Linked DNA regions of Cricetulus griseus. The protein of the gene in region 2 purifies or fractionates together with the protein of the main gene of each other region. This does not show direct contact. Links are inferred from orthologs where the notes say so. Each region holds a gene or a part of one and is shown on either strand. Other genes may lie near its edges.

Region 1 (6,078 bases), on a different chromosome or scaffold from region 2:
GAGCCCACGGCTGACATAAGGACTCATACTCGATTAAACTCTTAAACCTTATTTGTTGAGTTAGGGTCTCTTGAACCCAAAGTACAGCAATATAGCTAGTCTAGCTAGCCAGCTTGCTCTGGGGAATCTGCCTTCTGAGGGTAGACCCTGGGTTCTGGGATCTTAATTTTGGTCCTCAAGCACCTTAACTTCAGCCATTTTTTGTTTTTGTTTGTTTTTTTAGCTTTATGTTTTTTAAAAGATTTATTTTATGTGTATGGGTGTTTTGCTTGCATGTATGTCTGTGCTCTATGTGCATATCTGACACTGCTCAAAATAGAGTGCTGAATCCCCTTTGACAGGAGTCACAGACAGTTATGAGATGTCACGTTGGTGCTGGGAATTGAATCTGGGTCCTCTGGAAGAGCAACAAGGGCTCTTAAACAGCTGAGCCATAACTCCAGCTTCTGTTTTTATTGGTTTTCAGTTTTTTTTTTGTTTTTTTTTTTTTTTTTTTTTTTTGAGACAGGGTTTCTTTGTGTAACAGTCCTGGTTGTCCTGGATCTCACTGTGTAGATCAGGCTGGCCTTGAACTCACAGAGATCTGCCTGCCTCTACTTTCCGAGAGTTGGGATTAAAGACATGTGCCACTTGCCTGATTCATATCCTTTTTACTGGTATCTTCTTTTAAATATTTTTATTACATTTTGTGTTGGTATGTATGTGTGTGAGTACATATGTTCCATGGTGTGCATATGGAGGTCAGAGAACAACTTAACAAGTCTCTTCTCTCCTTCTGTATCGAAATCAGGCCATTTCAGGCTCTTTACATCTTTTTAAAAATATTTTTGGGGTCAGTGAGATAGTTCATCTGATAAAAATACTTGAATGCTTGGATTCCATGGTGGAAGGAGGAAAGAACAGTTCTGAAAGTTGTCCTGTGATCTCCACTTTAACATTAGCACATGTTCATTATGTGTAATATTTGGTTTCATGATAGCATTTTCATACATATATAGTATATTTACATTTTCTTTTCCTTGGTTTTTGTTTGTTTGTTTGTTTGTTTTTCCAGACAAGGTTTCTCTGTGTAGCATTGGAGGCTGTCCTGGAACTTACTCTGTAGACCAGGCTGGCCTCTAACTCAGTGAGGTCTTCTTGCCTCTGCCTCCCAAGTGCTGGGATTAAAGGCGTGCTCCACTACCGCTGGGCTGATAGATCCAGTCTTGCCCAGCTCTTGTGCTGGTAGTCACAGCTGCTATGAAATGGAGTGCAGGTGTGATGCCATGTATTGAGAAGACATTCCACCTCATGCTGCTCTGTGTTCTGCCTCTTAATATTCTTTCTCTCTTGTCTTCCATGGCAGAGGAGGTGATACAGATTCTCCTATGGCTGAATGTTCAACAGCCCTTTATTTTCAACTCTCTGATCAGTTATGAATGAGTCTCTGCAGTTTCTGCTGTTACTGGGGCATTTTTTTTTAGTGTGAGCGAGTGTGTGTGTGTTTAGCACACAGGCACACACATCCCGCATGTGGGAATCAGAGGACAGCTTTGGGTGTTGGTTCTCTTCTTTAAGCATGTGGACCTTGAGGACTGAACTCAGGTCCTCTTGCAGGCCCCTGGGGTCTTTTAATTAATGAATATTCTTAGTGTTAATTAGTACCCTCACATACTCTCTTTTATGGTTATCATATATGTACCTTGTTAAAGCTTTTGTTCTCTTCATGGTGTGTGTGTGTAAAACTTAATTTTTTGGTCTTTAAATGTGCATAGGTGATGCCATGGAGAGTGGAAAACCTGGTCCAGTGCAAGTTGTTTTGGTTCACAAAGAGCAGCATTCCTTTGAGCTAGAAGAGAGTGCCTTGGCCAGCATCCTCCTGCAGGATCACATCCGAGATCTTGATGTGGTAGTAGTATCAGTGGCTGGCGCCTTTCGAAAGGGCAAATCCTTCGTTCTGGACTTTATGCTCCGATACTTATATGCTCAGGTAAGGAAGAATTAGTTTATTTCAAAGTAGAAAGTGAGCAAAATAAGCTCATTACTTAAGATTTGGTGAGAGGTCTGGGCATGTAGTGTAATGATAAAGTGCTTGCCCAATGTGTGTAAAGCCCTGTGTTTTATCTCCAGTGCTTCAGAAAGCAAAACCAAAGATGTAGTAGAACGTCTTATTTCTTTTGTAGAAAGTTGGTCATTCAAATTGGTTGGGTGACCCAGAAGAACCACTGACAGGATTTTCATGGCGAGGAGGCTCTGACCCAGAAACCACTGGGATTCAGATTTGGAGTGAAGTTTTCACTGTGGAGAAGCCAGGTGGGAAAAAGGTAAGGATATTAAAAAAATAAAAGAAAGAAAAAGACTGAGATGTTAAAACAGAATAACCAAATGAAACTTAACATTTGTTTTTTCTTGATAGTGGGTCTGGAACTCACTAGGTACCATAGGCTGGCCTTGAATCCTGAGAACCCTGCCTCAGCCACTTTTGTGCTGTGATCATAGGAGCATACTACCAGACTTGGTTCTAGATGAGAACTTTGACATATTCTGTGTTAATTCAATCAAAAAATACTTTTGATCTTTTATGTCCATGGTAATTTCTATGTCCTAATGTAATTGCTTTTCTTTTTTTTTTTTTTTGTTTTAAAGATTTATTTATTATGTATGCAGCGTTCTGCCTACATGCCATAAGATGGCACCATGTCTCAATATAGGTGGTTGTGAGCCATCATGTGGTTGCTGGGAATTGAACTCTGAACCTCTGGAATAGCAGCCAGTGCTCTTAACCTGTGAGCTATCTCTCCAGCAGCTGTAATTGCTTTTCTGTTTTTTTTTTTTTTTTTTTTTTTTTTTGACAGTAAATCCTACAATGTACTGTCTAGCTCCTTTACTAAGTAGAAATGTTGATTCAGGGAGGTATCAGTATATATTTTATAATTAAAATGTTTGCTTTGTAAAATTGACTACTCATCCAAACCTCCCTTCCATCTTTGAATTCCTTTTAATGAAAAAGCCTCTCTGCTGTTTAAAAAAAAAAAAAAAAAGGTGTTATAAAACAAAAGAAATCAGGCGTTGGTGGTGCAAGCCTTTAATCCCAGCACTCGGGAGGCAGAGGCAGAGGCAGGTGGATCTCTGTGAGTTTGAGGCCAGCCTGGTCTCCAGAGCGAGTGCCAGGATAGAAACCCTGTCTTGAAAAACCAAAAACCAACCAACCAAACAAACAAAAAACAAAAGAAAGCAACTATTAGGCTATATGTAGGAGGGCTACCACTTGGAGGCCAGCCTGGGCTTCCTCTTTTTTTTTTTTTAGTTTTTCGAGACAGGGTTTCTCTGTGTAGCTTTGGAGTCTGTCCTGGCACTCCCTCTGTAGACCAGGCTGGCTTTGAACTCAAGAGATTGGCCTGCTTCTGCCTCCTGAGTGCTGGGATTAAAGTCGTGCACCACCACCTCCCAGCCAGCCTGGGCTGTTTAAAATGTACATAAAGGAGCTTTGGCATGGTGACTTATACCTGTAATCCCTATACTCAAGAGGCTGAAGTAGGAAGATTGGCACACATTTGAGGTCAGCATGGGCTATAAATTGTGGGACACTGTTTCACAAACAACAAAAAAGTGATTTGGAAGTTTTACTGTGCTAGTGTGTGCTGTGAGACCATTTCTCTCAATGGTGAGTACACATGTAGCTTCTGCTCTTCAGAGAGCTTGAACATAGCCCCTTGTTTCCTCTATAGTCTCAATTTTCTAATTGACAGATACGTGTGACAGTGAACTTTTGTTAAATTGGGATATCATGCTGATTCAGAATTCATTCTGATTCAGTGGTTTTTATATACATAGAGCTGAACAGGTGTCATCACCATCTGACTCCAGAACATTTCACTACCTCAGAAGAAGCCTCCATTATTGTCAGCAGTCACTGTCCATTCCATCTTCTTCCAGCCCCTTGTCTCTCTAATTTACTGTTGACTGAGCTGTTAGGAAGTACGGCTGAATGGAGAGCTAGGTGTGCTTGTATTCACCCTCCTTTCTCTCCCTTTGTGTTTTCTCCCTTTCCCTGCCTTCCTGTCTTTTCTGATATTGGGGATTGAACCTAGTGCTATGTGTATGCCAGGCAAATGTTCTAGCTCTTGGTTACATCTCTAGCATCTCCATGGAGCTGTCTATTCTAAGCATATGATACAAATGAAATTATATGCTTTTTGGGTCTGTCCTCTCCATTCATCCTAATTCTCTTATAGCATTCAATAGTTCTTTATTCCCTTTCATGGCTGAACAGTAAGTATTACATTGTATGAAAATACCATACTTTTTTTTATTTATCAGTTGTGAATGTTCGGGCTGCTTATTATAAATAATGCTGCCTGTACATGCCTCTAATATTAGTACTTGGGAGGCTGAGGCATGAGTTTCAGGGTAGCTTGGACTGCAATGTGAGATTCTGTCTAAACTAACTTCTACCCTAAAATAAACAAAAACCCAGAGCTGGGGAGTTGGCTCAGTGGCTCAAGTGCATTTGTTGCTGTTCTTTTAGAGGACCTGGGATTGATTCCCAGCCCCCACATAGTGTCTTAAAACCATCTGTAATTCCAGTCTCAGGGTGTCCAGTACCCTCTTGTAACCTCAGTGGGCACCACACATGTGGTGCACAGATATACATGCAAATGAAACAGTCATATACATAAAATAATAAACGCATCTCCAAACCTTATAAAAATACTACCTGGCACCGAGTGGTGGTGGTGCATGCCTTTAATTCCAGCACTCGGGAGGCAGAGGCAGGCGGATCTCTATGAGTTCGAGGCCAGTCTGGTCTACAGAGCGAGTGCCAGGACAGGCTCCAAAGCTACACAGAGAAACCCTGTCTCGAAAAACAAAAAAACAAACAAACAAAAAAATACTACCTGCCTTGAACATGTATGTATAAATTTTTCTAAGATTGAAGCTTTCTTGTGTATATCCAAGTGTTTGCTTTTTGTGTCTGTGACAAATAGCTGAGATACACAACTTAAGGGAGGAAAGATTTATTTCTGTCACAACTTGAGGATTTTCAGTCCTCAGCTGTTCACTGCTGTGACCTGAGGCTAAGCTGAACATGACGGGAAGCATGTGATGAGGTAGGGTTGAGTATCATGGTGGGAAGCCAGTGGTGGAGCAGAGCTTGCTTTGCAGTGGACAGGAAGCTGGAGACAGACAGGAGGGGCCAGGCAAACATATGCCTCGGAGTTGTGTCCAAAGTCCCTAATACTCGTTCAATATGAACTCGTCAGTGGGTCACCATTAATGAGCTGAGTGCCCTCACACTGCAGTTACCTCTTAATATGAGATTCAGCAGCTGAGGACTTAAGTCCTCTCAGCAAAAGAGCTTGGGGAAAAATGCTGTGTGTGTTTCTGTGTCACATGGCAATTCTGTAACTAACTTAATTATTATTTTTTAATTTATTATTTTTTATGTGTATGGGTTAGTTATTCCTGCATGTATTTCTGTACACCATGTGCATGCAGTGCCTATAGAAGCCAGAAGAGGGCATTAGATCCTCTGAACCAGGGTTTTGGATGGTTGTGAGCCCTGTATGTCGATGCTGGGAATCAAACTAAGGTCATCTGGAAGAGCAGCCAGTGCTCCTAACCACTGAATTACTCCAGCCTGTGACTACTTTAAAAAAGATGCCTAATACCTTCTAAAGAGAGCTCTACTAACCTATGTGCAAATTAGCCATGCAGGAAGCTCTAGTTTCTACATCTTTCCAGTCCCTGATACTGTTTTTTTTTTTTTTCTTTTGAGTGGGATAGATTTAAAATCAAAGCTGGCCTCCAATTTGATACCTTAGTCTCCTGAGTCCTGGGATTACAGGTGTGCCCCAATATGCTTGGTTTATTTGTCCTTTTAATGTATGTTAACTTATTGATGGCCTTGTATACACTTCTGAATAGCCCCAGATCCTTCTTTGTCTTAAGACCTCTCTCTCTCTCTCTCTCTCTCTCTCTCTCTCTCTCTCTCTCTCTCTCTGTGTGTGTGTGTGTGTGTGTGTGTGTGTGTGTGTGTATGTGTGTATTCCTGTGTTGGTGTACATGTATGTGTTGAGGCCATAGGAGAACCTCAGA
Region 2 (6,480 bases):
AGATCTTATACTTAGATTCATCTGAAATCTGCTTCCCCACTGTACCCGGTGCCCAAGACCTGGACGGTGACGGCCCCCAGACAGGCAGCAGTGTGGATGCCCCACCTCGGCCCTGTCACACAACTCCTAACAACCACTTTGGGACGGAGGTAAGTTGGTACCTGGAAACAATAAGGCCCTGTTTGCCCACACTGTGCCAAGCCTGCTCTAGGGCTGGTTCTGAGCTCTTGTCCATCTGTCCTTCCTGCAGAGTGTTCTTCGGATCCATGTACTAGAGGCTCAGGACCTGATTGCCAAAGACCGTTTCCTGGGGGGGTTGGTGAAGGGCAAATCAGACCCCTACGTCAAACTGAAGGTGGCAGGACGGAGTTTCCGGAGCCATGTTGTTCGGGAGGACCTCAATCCCCGCTGGAATGAGGTTTTTGAGGTCAGAACCGAGTAACTGGACTCCTGTCTGCCCCACAGGGGCTGCCAATCCTCCCTAGTCAGGTGGTAGGGGGTGGGCAGACATGACATATGGAGAGGAAAAGAAGTCCCTTTCATCTGCACTGTCTCCTCCCATTAGGTGATTGTCACATCGATTCCAGGCCAAGAGCTTGAGATTGAGGTCTTTGATAAGGACTTGGACAAGGATGACTTTCTGGGCAGGTAAGAGTCAAGAGTTCAGGGGGACAGGAAACGCTGGCCTGTATCACCCACCAGCCCCTTGTCTCCATTCTCCACAGGTATAAAGTGAGTCTCACCACAGTCCTCAACAGTGGCTTCCTTGATGAGGTGAGCATGAGGTGAGACCCATGCTGCCTCCTCCTCCTCACGCACCTGGTCTCATCCTCAAGACTTTTCCCTGCCTGTCTCCACAGTGGCTGACCCTGGAGGATGTTCCATCTGGCCGCCTGCACTTACGCCTGGAGCGTCTGACCCCTAGACCTACTGCTGCTGAGTTGGAAGAGGTGAGGACACGTGGGGACAGGATGGAGTGGGCTGAGCCCCCTGCCAGCTCCCACCCACGGCCCACTCTGTGTCTCAGGTGCTGCAGGTCAACAGCCTGATCCAGACCCAGAAGAGCTCAGAGCTGGCGGCAGCCCTGCTGTCTGTCTACTTGGAACGGGCAGAAGATCTGCCAGTAAGAGCAGCTCCCCATGCCTCCCAAGAGCAGTTCCCCATTCCTTTGCTTTGGCTTCATAGCCCCTCTTCAGGCTCCCTTGGGTTTGAGTGAGCCTTGGGGGTGGGGGCTATGAAGTGCAAATGGAGATGTGGTTATGCCTTTAATTTGTAAATCTGTGACCCATGCTGTCCCTCCAGCTCCGGAAAGGCACCAAGCCCCCCAGCCCATATGCTACTCTCAGCGTAGGAGAGACTTCCCATAAAACCAAGGTAGGCGCAGATGCTTTGTAACGGGATCCTTCACTGCTAAGAATGAGTGATCACCACTGACCATAACCCCTCTTCTCCAACAGACTGTTTCCCAAACGTCAGCCCCCATCTGGGAGGAGAGTGCCTCATTTCTCATCAGGAAGCCACATGCTGAGAGCCTGGAGCTTCAGGTACTCAACTCACTGCAGACTCCAACCACAGCTATTATAATCCCGGCACTCGGGAGGCAGAGGCATTCCGATCTCTGTGAGTTCGAGGGCAGCCTGGTCTATAAGAGCGAGTGCCAGGATAGGCTCCAAAGCCACAGAGAAACCCTGTCTTGAAACAAACAAACAAAACAAAACAAAATTTTAAAAAAATTATGAGCTGGACAGTGGTGGCCCACACCTTTAATCCCAGCACTCAGGAGGTAGAGTCAGGTGGATCTCTGAGTTCGAGGCCAGCCTGGTCTCCAGAGTGAGTTCTAGGACAGCCATGGCTACACAGAGGGAAAAAAAAAAAAAAAAAAAACAGTAGTGAGACAAAAAATAGAAGGTGTGTGTCATGTCAGCTCTTCTGTAAAGTTAGTAAGAGGGCAGGGAGATGTCAGCATGCATGAAACACAAGCTGGAAAGCCTAACGACCTGAGTTTGTTCTTTGGGACCTACTCCTAAAAGTGGTCTTCTGACAGCTACACTCAGAATCATGACAGTCATGCACTTATAACACTTAATAACATTCAAGTTTAAAAAGTCAGGAAATACTAAGAGATACAGGTGTATATACTAGTTAGAATTATAGAACAAAGCAAATGTTTTAAAATTTTATTTTAAAGGGTGGGTACCACCATGCCTGGCAATTTACTTTTAGTTTTTTTCATTCTTTTTCCCTCTCTGCTGGTACTACTGGTAAACCTGAGAAGGCTTATGAAGTAGAGACTACTTTAAGAAAGGAAAAGCTAGGCTGGGTGGTGGCTCCCGCCTTTTATCCCAGCACCGGGTGTGTATGGGGGTGTGGGAAGTGGGGGTGGGGTGGAGGTGGGGGACCGCAGAGGCAGGCAGATCTCTGTGAGTTCCAAGCCAGTCTGCTCTACAAAGTGAGTTTCAGGACAGCCAGGACTGTTACAGAGAGAAAAGCTAGGCGTGATGGCACACACCTGTAATCCCAGCACTGGGGAGGCAGCCTGGATGAGGCATATTCTCAGAAAGGGGTTTGTAGGGGGCGGGGGTAGGGGGCTAGCAGCTGTAACATTTATTCTGTTCCTCCAAAAGGTGACTCTCTCATCAAAACCACCCAAGTGTTTGGATCATAAATGCTGAGCTTCCATCATTTATCAGTGCATTTACCTCACAGGTTCGGGGTGAAGGGACTGGTACCCTGGGCTCCATATCCCTGCCTCTCTCTGAGCTCCTCCAGGCAGAGCGACTCTGTTTAGACAGATGGTTTGCACTCAGCAGTGGTCAGGGCCAGGTGCTGATGAGAGCGCAGCTAGGGGTAAGTGCTGGGGGGGGCAGGGGAGGGGCAGGAGGGGCTCAGGGCAGGGGGCTCAGGGCAGGGGCAGGAGGGCTCAGGGCCAGGGGAGCTAAGGGAGGGCAGGAGGGCTCAGGGCCAGGGGGGCTCAGGGCAGGGGCAGGAGGGCTCAGGGCAAGGGGGCTCAGGGCAGGGGCAGGAGGGCTCAGGGCAGGGGCAGGGGGACTCAGGGCAGGAGGGCTCAGCGTGGATCAATACCCAAAGGGTGGGAGCAGGGGTGTCCTTCTAGTGAGGAAACTGCCCAGCTCACCGCTCTCCTGTCTCCAGATCCTGGTGTCCCAGCACTCAGGAGTGGAAGCCCACAGCCACAGCTATAGCCACAGCTCTTCTTCACTCAATGAGGAACCCGAGGCCTCAGGGATACCCAGCCACGCCACTTCCCCAGTGCTGGAGGTCAGGCATCGCCTACCACATGGTGACAGGTAAGGGGACTGGGATGGAGATGGTATGCAGGCAAGAATATGAAGTTTGACTCCTAGACGCTATGCTGTCTGTCTGTCTTTCCACAGCCCCTCTGAGGCTCCTGTTGGGCCTCTGGGCCAGGTGAAACTGACAGTGTGGTACCACAGTGATGAACAAAAGCTGGTTAGCATCATCCACAGCTGCCGGTGAGACCCTGCCCACCTGTCCTCCTCTGCAGTCCCCACGTCCTTTGCAACCAGTGCTTCAGTGACCACATCCTTTTGTCACAGGGCCCTTCGACAAAATGGCCGTGATCTCCCAGATCCCTATGTGTCACTGCTGCTACTACCAGACAAGAATCGAGGCACCAAGAGGAAGACCTCACAGAAGAAGAGGACTCTCAACCCCGAGTTCAATGAACGGTCAGTGAATGGGTGATTTATTTTTTCTTCGAGACAGGGTTTCTCTATGGCTTTGGAGGCTGTCCTGGAACTAGCTCTTGTAGAACAGGCTGGTCTCAAACTCACAGAGATCCTCCTGGCTCTGCCTCCTGAGTGCTGGGATTAATGGCGTGTGCGAGAATGGGGGATATTAATGGGTGATATTTACATGGAGGGGTGAGGCTTTGGCTGGGCCCTGAGTTCTAATGTCTAGTGCCTTCACAGGTTTGAGTGGGAGCTGCCCCTGGATGGGTCTCTCAGGAGAAAGCTAGATGTTTCAGTGAAGTCAAACTCTTCTTTCATGTCACGAGAGCGTGAGCTTCTGGGAAAGGTAAGAGGGTGAGGAGGCAGCAAAAATTAAAGCTGCTAGAACCACAGCGTCCCATTAAGGAGACAGCCAGGGTGCCAGCTGGGACATGGTCCTATCCTCTTGCGGTGGTTCATGATCATGTGACAATGGGGTATGGTCTTTGGAAATGTCAAAATAACATCTTGCCCCCTGCCATCCTCCAACCCAGGTACAGCTGGATCTTGCGGAGATAGACCTCTCCCAGGGTGCAGCCCAGTGGTGAGTGTCTACAGAGCAGCGGGTGGGACTGGGTGGGTACAGTGGAGAAACCCAGTCACAGAAGAGGAAAGATGTAGTGAAAGCTGAGAACCATTCGCCCCCTCAGCGCAGAAGCCCTGGGCCATGCCTTTCACTTAGGAGAGATGACAACTGTTCCTGGTGGCTGGTGGCTGTAGTTCCAGCCTATGAGGAGCTGGAGAGTTGAGAGTCCATACAAGTTCCAGCCAGCCTGGGACAGACAGAATGAGACTGACAGAACAAAACAGATGCAAGAGTCTTAACTCTCCTGAGCTCTGTCCTTGTTTCCTAGGTATGACCTGATGGATGACAAAGATAAGGGCAGTTCCTAGGAGCTGGGGACAGCCCGACATTGCTCTGTCTTCTTGCCTTGCCTCTTGCCTCAGTGTGATGAGCCCACAGCTAGGGCTCCAGGGCTGAGCCTGAACCCTTTTGCCTTCTGGGCCCAAATCGGGGTCTTTGCCTGACCAAAGAGAATCATATGTAACCTTTACTGCACGGCCTTTCCCCTTGGGCTCCTGGGGCAGGGACCTAAGCTGGCTACTTCCTCTTCTGCCTGCACCTCACTCTCCCTTCCCGACTCCTCAGGGCCTCATGCACCTGTGCCTGGCCACTGGTAGCACCAGCAGTGGCACCAAATCATGCCAAATACAGCTTTTGGAAAGCTCTTTTTTACATAATAAAAAATATACAGAAAAACAATGCTTCATGAACTTGCATGTCATCCTTGCACAGTGCCATGCTAAGAGCTAAGTTAGTCTGTGCTGCTGAGTTGAGCCTAAGGTTTCCTGTGACTGCCAGGAGCCACCAGGGAGAACAAACACAGGTGTGAAGGTAGGCAGGCTCCGCTCGCCTCTTGGACTGCATGTAGAAAATGTACGGCTTCACCCACACCGTACTCAGTCTACTCTTGGAAAATATACGCGCTATGACGGCTACATCAGTCTGATTCACTGTGCCTCAACTGGGAACACTGAGGTCTGCCTCCAGGCCATTAGAAATTGGCCTGGAAGGGCTGGAGAGATGGCTCAGAGGTTAAGAGTACTGGCTAGTCTTCCAAAGGTCCTGAGTTCAATTCCCAGCAACCACATGGTGGCTCACAACCATCTGTAATGAAATCTGGTGCCCTCTTCTGGCTTGCAGGCACACATGCAGACAGAACACTTTTCTTTAAGAAAAGAAAAAAGAGGCTGGGTGTTGGTGGCACATGCCTTTAATCCCAGCTCTTGGGAGGCAGAGGCAGGCAGATCACTGTGAGTTGGAGGCCAGCCTGGTTTACAAAAGCTAGTTCCAGGACAGCTTCCAAAGCCACAGAGAAATCCTGTCTCAAAACAACAACAACAACAACAACAAAAAAAAAACCAAAAAACAACAACAAAACAAACAAAAAGATCCATTCACTTAGTAGTTAAAGCCTATGAAACTGCAGTAACCAAGGGAATTGGCCCACTGAGCTGGAAAGGGCTCATGTGTGAAGTATCGGAAGGGCAGACTGGAGCTTATCTACTGACCACTGCCGTCTGCCATCCAGAAATCTGCAAGTCCCACCACAGCACCAGGTTCATAAAGTCAAGGATAGCAGCCATATCCAAAGAGGCTTCAGGGCCACCTGAGTCCTGAGAAATATTTCACGTCTGGATCTACTCACCTTGCAAGAGTTATCTTTTCATTTGCTGAAACGGTCTCCTGTACCCCAGGCTGCCAAGGAAGGCTCCAACTTCACGTCTTCCTTCTAAGTGCCGGGATCACAGGTGTGCACTACCACAACTGGCCTGTTTGTCTTAATAAAAAACAAAGCAACAACAGAGTCACATGTTAGCCCAGGCTGGCCTCAAACTCATGGTAGCCCTGCTGCAGCATCCTCCTGGAGAGCTAGAGTTACAAGCATGACCTCTGAGCCATCTCTCTGAGCCATCTCTCCAGCCCAATAATAAATAAATCTTAAGCCGGGTGTTGGTGGTGCACGCCTTTAATCTCAGCACTTGGGAGGCAGAGGCAGGCGAATCTCTGTGAGTTTGAGGCCAGCCTGGTCTACAGAGCGAGTGCCAGGATAGGCTCCAAAGCTACACAGAGAAACCCTGTCTCGAAAAACAAAACAAAACAACAAGAACAACAAAAAGAAGTCTCACTTTGTGGCCCTGGCTGGCCTGGAATTCACAGAGATCTGCC
Region 3 (6,078 bases), on a different chromosome or scaffold from region 2:
CTTTTCGAGGTGTCCCATATTTCCTGGATATTTAGTGTTAAGGATTTTTTTGGAATTAAGGCTTTCTTTGGTTGATTAATCTATTTCTTCTAGTTTATCTTCAGTGCCTAAGATTCTCTCTTCCATCTCTTTTATTCTGTTGGTTATGCTTGCCATCTGTAGTTCCTGATTGTTTACCCAGCTCTTCTATTTCCATCATTCCCTCAGTTTGTGTTTTCTTGTCTGAATTTTAGTTTTCAGGTCTTGAGTTGTTAGGGAATTGTTTCCTTCATCTGTTTGATTTTTTTTCTCTCTCCTTGCTCTCTTTAAGAGATTTGTTGATTCTTGCATTTTTGTTTGTTTTTTCTTCCATTTCTTTAAGGGATTTTCTCATAGTCTCTTTAAGGGCCTCTGTCATTTTCATGAAGTTGTTTTTAAGGTTGCTCTTTTCCCGCTTCATCTGTGTTGGGATGTTTAGGTCTTGCTGGTGTAGAATCCCTAGACTCTGGTGGTATCATATAAGTCTTTCTGATGTTGAATGTGTTCTTATTCTGTCATCTTCCCATCCCTTCTTCCAGGGGGTACAGGTGGGGTCTCTCCCTCCTCTGGTGGGTATGGGTTCAAGGCTGTATCCTCTCCTCTCTCCTGGAGGGTGCAGAGGCAAGACAGGCTGCTGATGCTGGATGCTTTGTTCTGCCTCCAGGTCCTTCTGGGGGATTTGGTGGCAGGAAGGGTCTACAATTACTGTTTTTCAGATTTTATTACTGGGGTCTTAACAGTTACCTTTGAGGGAGAGAGGATAGAATTCATAATCCTTATTTTCTAGAAAAGAAAGGAAATCAGACTTAAACTGATTTGCTTCAGTTCACATCTGGTAAGTTATGAAGTTGAACTTGAAACTAATTCTTCTGATTTATGCAGTATCTTAAATGACAGGGAAAAGGATACACTTGTTTGTGGTTAAAGTCAGAACCGAATAGGTTAGTTCAATTTTGCTTTCTGTCTTTACCAGGAAATAGTATAGTAGCTGACCACTTGTAAATGATCAGTGATTTTTATTGAACAAATAGACTAGCAAGTATCTAAATACATATATTGCTAAGATTTCATCTGTTTATTGGCAGTACTAGGTATTGCTCAGCATGCTAGGCAAGTGCTCTATCACAGCCCCAAGGATGAACTGTAATGTCACTACTCACTGCTATGGTAACTCATTCATTCCTGCAAAGTTTTAAGGTATAGATAAGTTCATTTATGAAAAGTTCTTTAGTTAATCTAAGAGTTCTTATTTTAAGTGGTTTGGTTTACTTGAACAGAAATAACAATGTGTTAAGTAAATGTACCACTGTGATGTGGTATTAGGGGATAAATAATAGACTGCACTTTCGAATAATAGATCTCAGTAAGGTTTCTTTTACCGCTTTTTAGATGCTGTTCTATAGCTTTAAATAACCTGTAACAAAGTCCATTTGGCAAATCACTGTGTTTCATTTGGCCACTTCACATTTGTTCTTCATTCTCAAGATTTGCAAAGATAGAAGCTGTTTGGTGATAAGACTCAAACCATAGTGAAAATGTTGAATTTCAGTGGAAGATTTTTCTGTAGTTTGTTTCAGCAGTGAGAGAAACTGATTGTCCTCAGCCCTTGCTCAAACCTGTCAGTATTTTTAAGTCTTTATGAAGCCTTCCATGATCTGGTTTTTGCTACCTTACCAGCCCCTCCCCACTTAACCTACATTCATGAATTTAACTTCAGGGAATTATGTGAAAAATGAATAAATAATTTAGAGTTCCTGTTTTTCCCACCCTACCCTTCAGGGCTATGAAAACAGTCTTCTAGAAGTAGTTCTTTCTGTTGTGTACCATAAATCCCCAAACGAATGCAAACAAAAACCACAAACCTATCTGGTGGCAGAGACTCCATGTACAAGGTATGCTCCTTAAATCATAAACTTCCTGATGTTTCCTCTTTGTGAAATTTCTCATTAAATTGTGGATTGGTTTGATGGTGCTGTGTTGGTACTTTGATTCTTAGCTTCATTCTACCCATGGAAAGAACTTTAGAGACAGCCCACATATATCTCTTTTGTGATATATTTTCTACTGAGATCATTAGGAGACTTGCGACTGGCTTTCCCTTCCCACTGCACCAATATGTTTTTGTTTTTTAAATTGTTTCCAACTGTCTTCCTTCTCTTTGTACTGTGTCCCTGAGTTATGACTGCAGCTACATAAAGAAGTGAGGTTCCTTTTTCTCTCTTTATTTCTTTTTGTTTTCTTTCTTCCCCTTCTCTCCCTGTTTTTTCCTTTTTTACATACAAGTTTTGTATGTTTCCTCAAAGAAATAAATGATTTCTGTAGAGTAAAATCCTTGTCACAGCTTAGTGACTGGTTCATGAAAACAAAATTGTAATTAGTTATCCAGCTAACTTGTTTGCCTGCTGTATTTTATTATAATAAGGATACTTAGATATGCTGTATTAACAAATTTGAAAATAAACCATATGCTATTATTTTGGGTAGACACAGTCTTGTACAGCAGATCTCTAGAACTTTTCTTCTGTAACTGAAATATTTTACTCTTGTAAACTAATTAAACTCAGAGAAACAAGGCATAGCATGGAGAACAACAGGAGGAGGGAAGTACCTAACTGCAAATCAGTAAGGAATTATTTTTTTTCTGGCTATCATTGTGTGCAGGTATGTGATCAGTTGTACTTGACATAGAAAGAAAAGAGTGAATTTGGTGACTTGATTCTCTTGCAAAGAACAATTGTTTTTCTAGTTCTGCAGTTTCCTGCTAACAACCACATCACTACTGTCCTACCCCAGTACAAAATAGAAAAGATAAACTACCAAGATTGCTTTTTCCAAAACAGTAGCATATATAGGTGTTCCCAGATCTTGATAGAAAACACATGTGAAGGAGAGGCTTCAACTAGCAGTTATTTTCTCACTAAATTGATAACATTTTGTTTGATAATTAGTTTAAGAAACAAAACTTCTTTTTATGAGCACAGCTAACCCTGTTACATTAATATAGGAATACCAGGATTTGGGTCATCTGAATGTCACCAACAGCATCAAAATCAAGTGTGAGCAGATGCACTTCTACCTTACAAGACTCCGCATTACTGTGTCCCACACTGTGTAGAGCTCAGTGTATTTGACTAGTCCTTTTGATCACTGTGTATGTACTGAGTGCTGCCTATTTCAAGTCAGCAGTGTAGGTACTTTGGCCTTTGTTGATAATGACTTTGCTAATGACTGTGTTAGCTACCTCACAGTCTGAATTGTCAGCTTCTCCTCCCCACTAGACCATGTTGCTCTCCTTTCTTCTCTAATCTTTCTTTCTTCTTCATCCCCCTCTCCTTCACTCCTCCATGATTTTCTCAGGGCTGGGCTTCAACATCGTCGGTGGGACAGATCAACAGTATGTCTCCAACGACAGTGGCATCTACGTCAGCCGCATCAAAGAGGATGGGGCTGCAGCCCGGGATGGGCGGCTCCAGGAGGGTGATAAGATCCTCTCGGTGAGAAATGCCTTCGGCTCCCTTTGCTATACTTTGCTCCCCTGACCTCCTCTGACCCCTTCCTTGGGAAGATTCTAGCCTGCCTGTTTGAAAATGAAAATACCTAAATTGTATCATTGAATGGGAAGAACATTGATCAATCTTTCAACTTTACTACTGGGCTTGGAGGATAATATTATTCTTGTTTGACAGACAAGGCAAATTTAACATAGAATGTGAAGTTACTTGCCCTAGTTCAAAAAACACAAAGCAAGTAGAGATGAAGCACTGGTTTGGAGGAAGAGTTAAGCTCACAGTTTTCACCTTTCTCTAGTTAACTTTATCACCTCTGTTTTGTTGATTAAACTACTGATTTTTGCCTTGTCTTGTCATATTGTCAGCCCTTAGTAATTGTCTTAACTTCAAAAAAAGAGGTAAGGATTAAGTTTCTTCCTTAAAATCAGGGCCCTTTCCCATTATTAAGATGAAAAATTGAAATAGAGTTTGTATATCTGTCAGTTGTGCTCCCATTTCATCCTGTTAATGTCTCTTACTAATCATGAATTTTATTCATTTTTTTATCTACTCAAAGACAGTAATTAAATTAAAAAAAAAACCTTTCCATGTCTTAGTACAGTGCTCAACATAGGCTTTTAACAAATGAGAAAATTCATGCAAGCTTAGAAAGGTTGACTAACTAATACAGTCATATGGGCTCAGTCCCTTAGCCTTTAAATTTTTTTGTTATTATTATTATTATTATTAGTGTGTGTGTGTGTGTGTGTGTAGGGGCATATGTGCACATGAGTGCTGGTGCCCATGGAAGCAAGAGGTATTGATCCTCCTGGAGCTTGAGTTACAGGCAATTATAAGTTGTCCCATGTGATTGCTAGGAACTGAACTCAGGTCCTCAGAAAGAGCACTACATGTTTTTAACTGCTGAGCCATCTCTCCAGGTCCAGAACCTTAGTTTTAGAATAAATTGAATGTTTCTAAAGTAAATCAGAATTCAGGCAAAATAAAACTCTTATTCCTGGATGCATGTTTTCATTTCTGTTCTACCTTACTGACTATAGTGTCATTATTATACTATTAGTTGTGGAAGTTGGGAAAGGTTAGATCATGCTATAGATTTTTTAAAATTAATGTTTTGGGCTGTTATTTTTCAGCTTATTTGTATGGAAATAACACACATAATTGGTATAAAGAATGGGAAAGTACTGAGAGGGTGAATTATTATCAAGGATTTCCTGGGAGTTAGACCTGGCTACAAAGGGCTGTCCTCAAATTAAGAGAAATTTGAAGTCCGATAGGACTTTTAGCAGAAGTGCCCTGTTTCCTCATGTGCTGTGGTCTAAAGAAGAAAAACTGTTTCCTACTTTGCCTCTTGAATTGAATAGGGCAAGAGGGCTAAACTGGTAAAAGGCTGAAGTAAATGAAGAGTAGACCAAGACAAGATTTGATTAAGAGATAATTATTATATCAGAGACTTGATTTAGAACTTCCATAAAACAGCAATATTCTTTTTAAAGTTCTTATTACAGTTTTGTTTTGGATTTTCTCTTTTGAATTACCTGTCATAGAGTTCATTTGATTAGTGATAAAAGTCGTATATGTGAAGTCTCCTGGTCATCTTAGATGCTAGCTTATTGGGTGGATACTTCCCTGCCATTCAGTTCATTTGGTAGCAGTATATGAAGACAGGAAGAATGTATACCTTTTTTTTTTTCATTTGACATATAAGATTTGAGAGATCTGGTTCAGTTTTGAATGTCTCCTTAGGAAGCCAGGCATGGGGACACACACCTAAAGTCCTCCCATACTCAAAAGGTAAAGCAGGAACATTTTGAGTTCAAGTCAATTGTGAATTACTTAGCAAGATCCTGTCTCAAAAAAGAGATACACATAAATCCAGGACAAGTAGTTATGAAAGCTTATAAATTAAGAATCTTAAGAATGTGTTCAATATATAAGTGCCATGGATGGCATTATTTTGGTCCATCTCACTGACTGTTTGGCATGTTTCAGCCCATGAAGCTTTTCCTAGTCCTTCTACATTAGACTGCAAGATAGGGATAGTGATTAATAATGAAGAATTTAGGAACAGGTATTTTGTCATTCTCAGAAGAAAGACATTGTAAAATACAAACCAACTTTGCAGTAGTAGAAATAAGAAAAACTGTGAGTGGGTTGTTAAAGGTACAGTGTGTAATTAGTATTTTACACAGAAATCACAATCTCTCAAACACTATCCCCTTGAGTGAAGAGAAATTTGAAAAGTATAGGGTTCAGTATAAGGCTTAAAGAGAGAGGCATGTTTGGAAATCTCTGCTTAAAGGCAGGTTATCTAAAAAAGAATTATAAGCAATTTTTAAGCACAAATGACAACTTTTAATGTAATCTTGTTTAATATTATAGTATAATATAGTGGGTTTTAATATTAGAGTATAATATAATGGGTATAATGATTATGCACATTTTCCAGCTAAGGAAACTGAGGCTTGATGAAGTCAGGTGGTTTTACAAGTGACATAACTAGCTTGGGGAAATAAAACTTCCATTTATCTAAATTTGGATCCTTTGTTAA

Evidence for each region.
Region 1: the proteins of Esyt1 (region 2) and Atl3 purify together in Homo sapiens (affinity purification with mass spectrometry; 3 studies listed by BioGRID and IntAct, with this or other methods). This does not show direct contact. The link is inferred for Cricetulus griseus from reciprocal best matches to the Homo sapiens genes ESYT1 and ATL3.
Region 3: the proteins of Esyt1 (region 2) and Synj2bp purify together in Homo sapiens (affinity purification with mass spectrometry; 4 studies listed by BioGRID and IntAct, with this or other methods). This does not show direct contact. The link is inferred for Cricetulus griseus from reciprocal best matches to the Homo sapiens genes ESYT1 and SYNJ2BP.

Annotation. Positions count from the first base shown.
Region 1 is NC_048596.1:51,912,673-51,918,750, reverse strand, and holds part of Atl3 (atlastin-3), read left to right. Parts: intron 1-1,754; coding exon 1,755-1,969; intron 1,970-2,162; coding exon 2,163-2,303; intron 2,304-6,078. UniProt on the Homo sapiens protein: Atlastin-3 (ATL3) is a membrane-anchored GTPase that mediates the GTP-dependent fusion of endoplasmic reticulum (ER) membranes, maintaining the continuous ER network. It facilitates the formation of three-way junctions where ER tubules intersect.
Region 2 is NW_023276806.1:129,384,472-129,390,951, forward strand, and holds the end of Esyt1 (extended synaptotagmin-1), read left to right. Parts: intron 1-2; coding exon 3-149; intron 150-250; coding exon 251-427; intron 428-565; coding exon 566-648; intron 649-725; coding exon 726-774; intron 775-860; coding exon 861-950; intron 951-1,027; coding exon 1,028-1,123; intron 1,124-1,302; coding exon 1,303-1,374; intron 1,375-1,457; coding exon 1,458-1,544; intron 1,545-2,706; coding exon 2,707-2,847; intron 2,848-3,150; coding exon 3,151-3,305; intron 3,306-3,392; coding exon 3,393-3,491; intron 3,492-3,575; coding exon 3,576-3,707; intron 3,708-3,950; coding exon 3,951-4,056; intron 4,057-4,243; coding exon 4,244-4,293; intron 4,294-4,603; coding exon 4,604-4,643; 3' UTR 4,644-5,015; downstream 5,016-6,480. UniProt on the Homo sapiens protein: Binds calcium (via the C2 domains) and translocates to sites of contact between the endoplasmic reticulum and the cell membrane in response to increased cytosolic calcium levels.
Region 3 is NC_048598.1:122,193,813-122,199,890, forward strand, and holds part of Synj2bp (synaptojanin-2-binding protein), read left to right. Parts: intron 1-3,375; coding exon 3,376-3,512; intron 3,513-6,078. UniProt on the Homo sapiens protein: Regulates endocytosis of activin type 2 receptor kinases through the Ral/RALBP1-dependent pathway and may be involved in suppression of activin-induced signal transduction.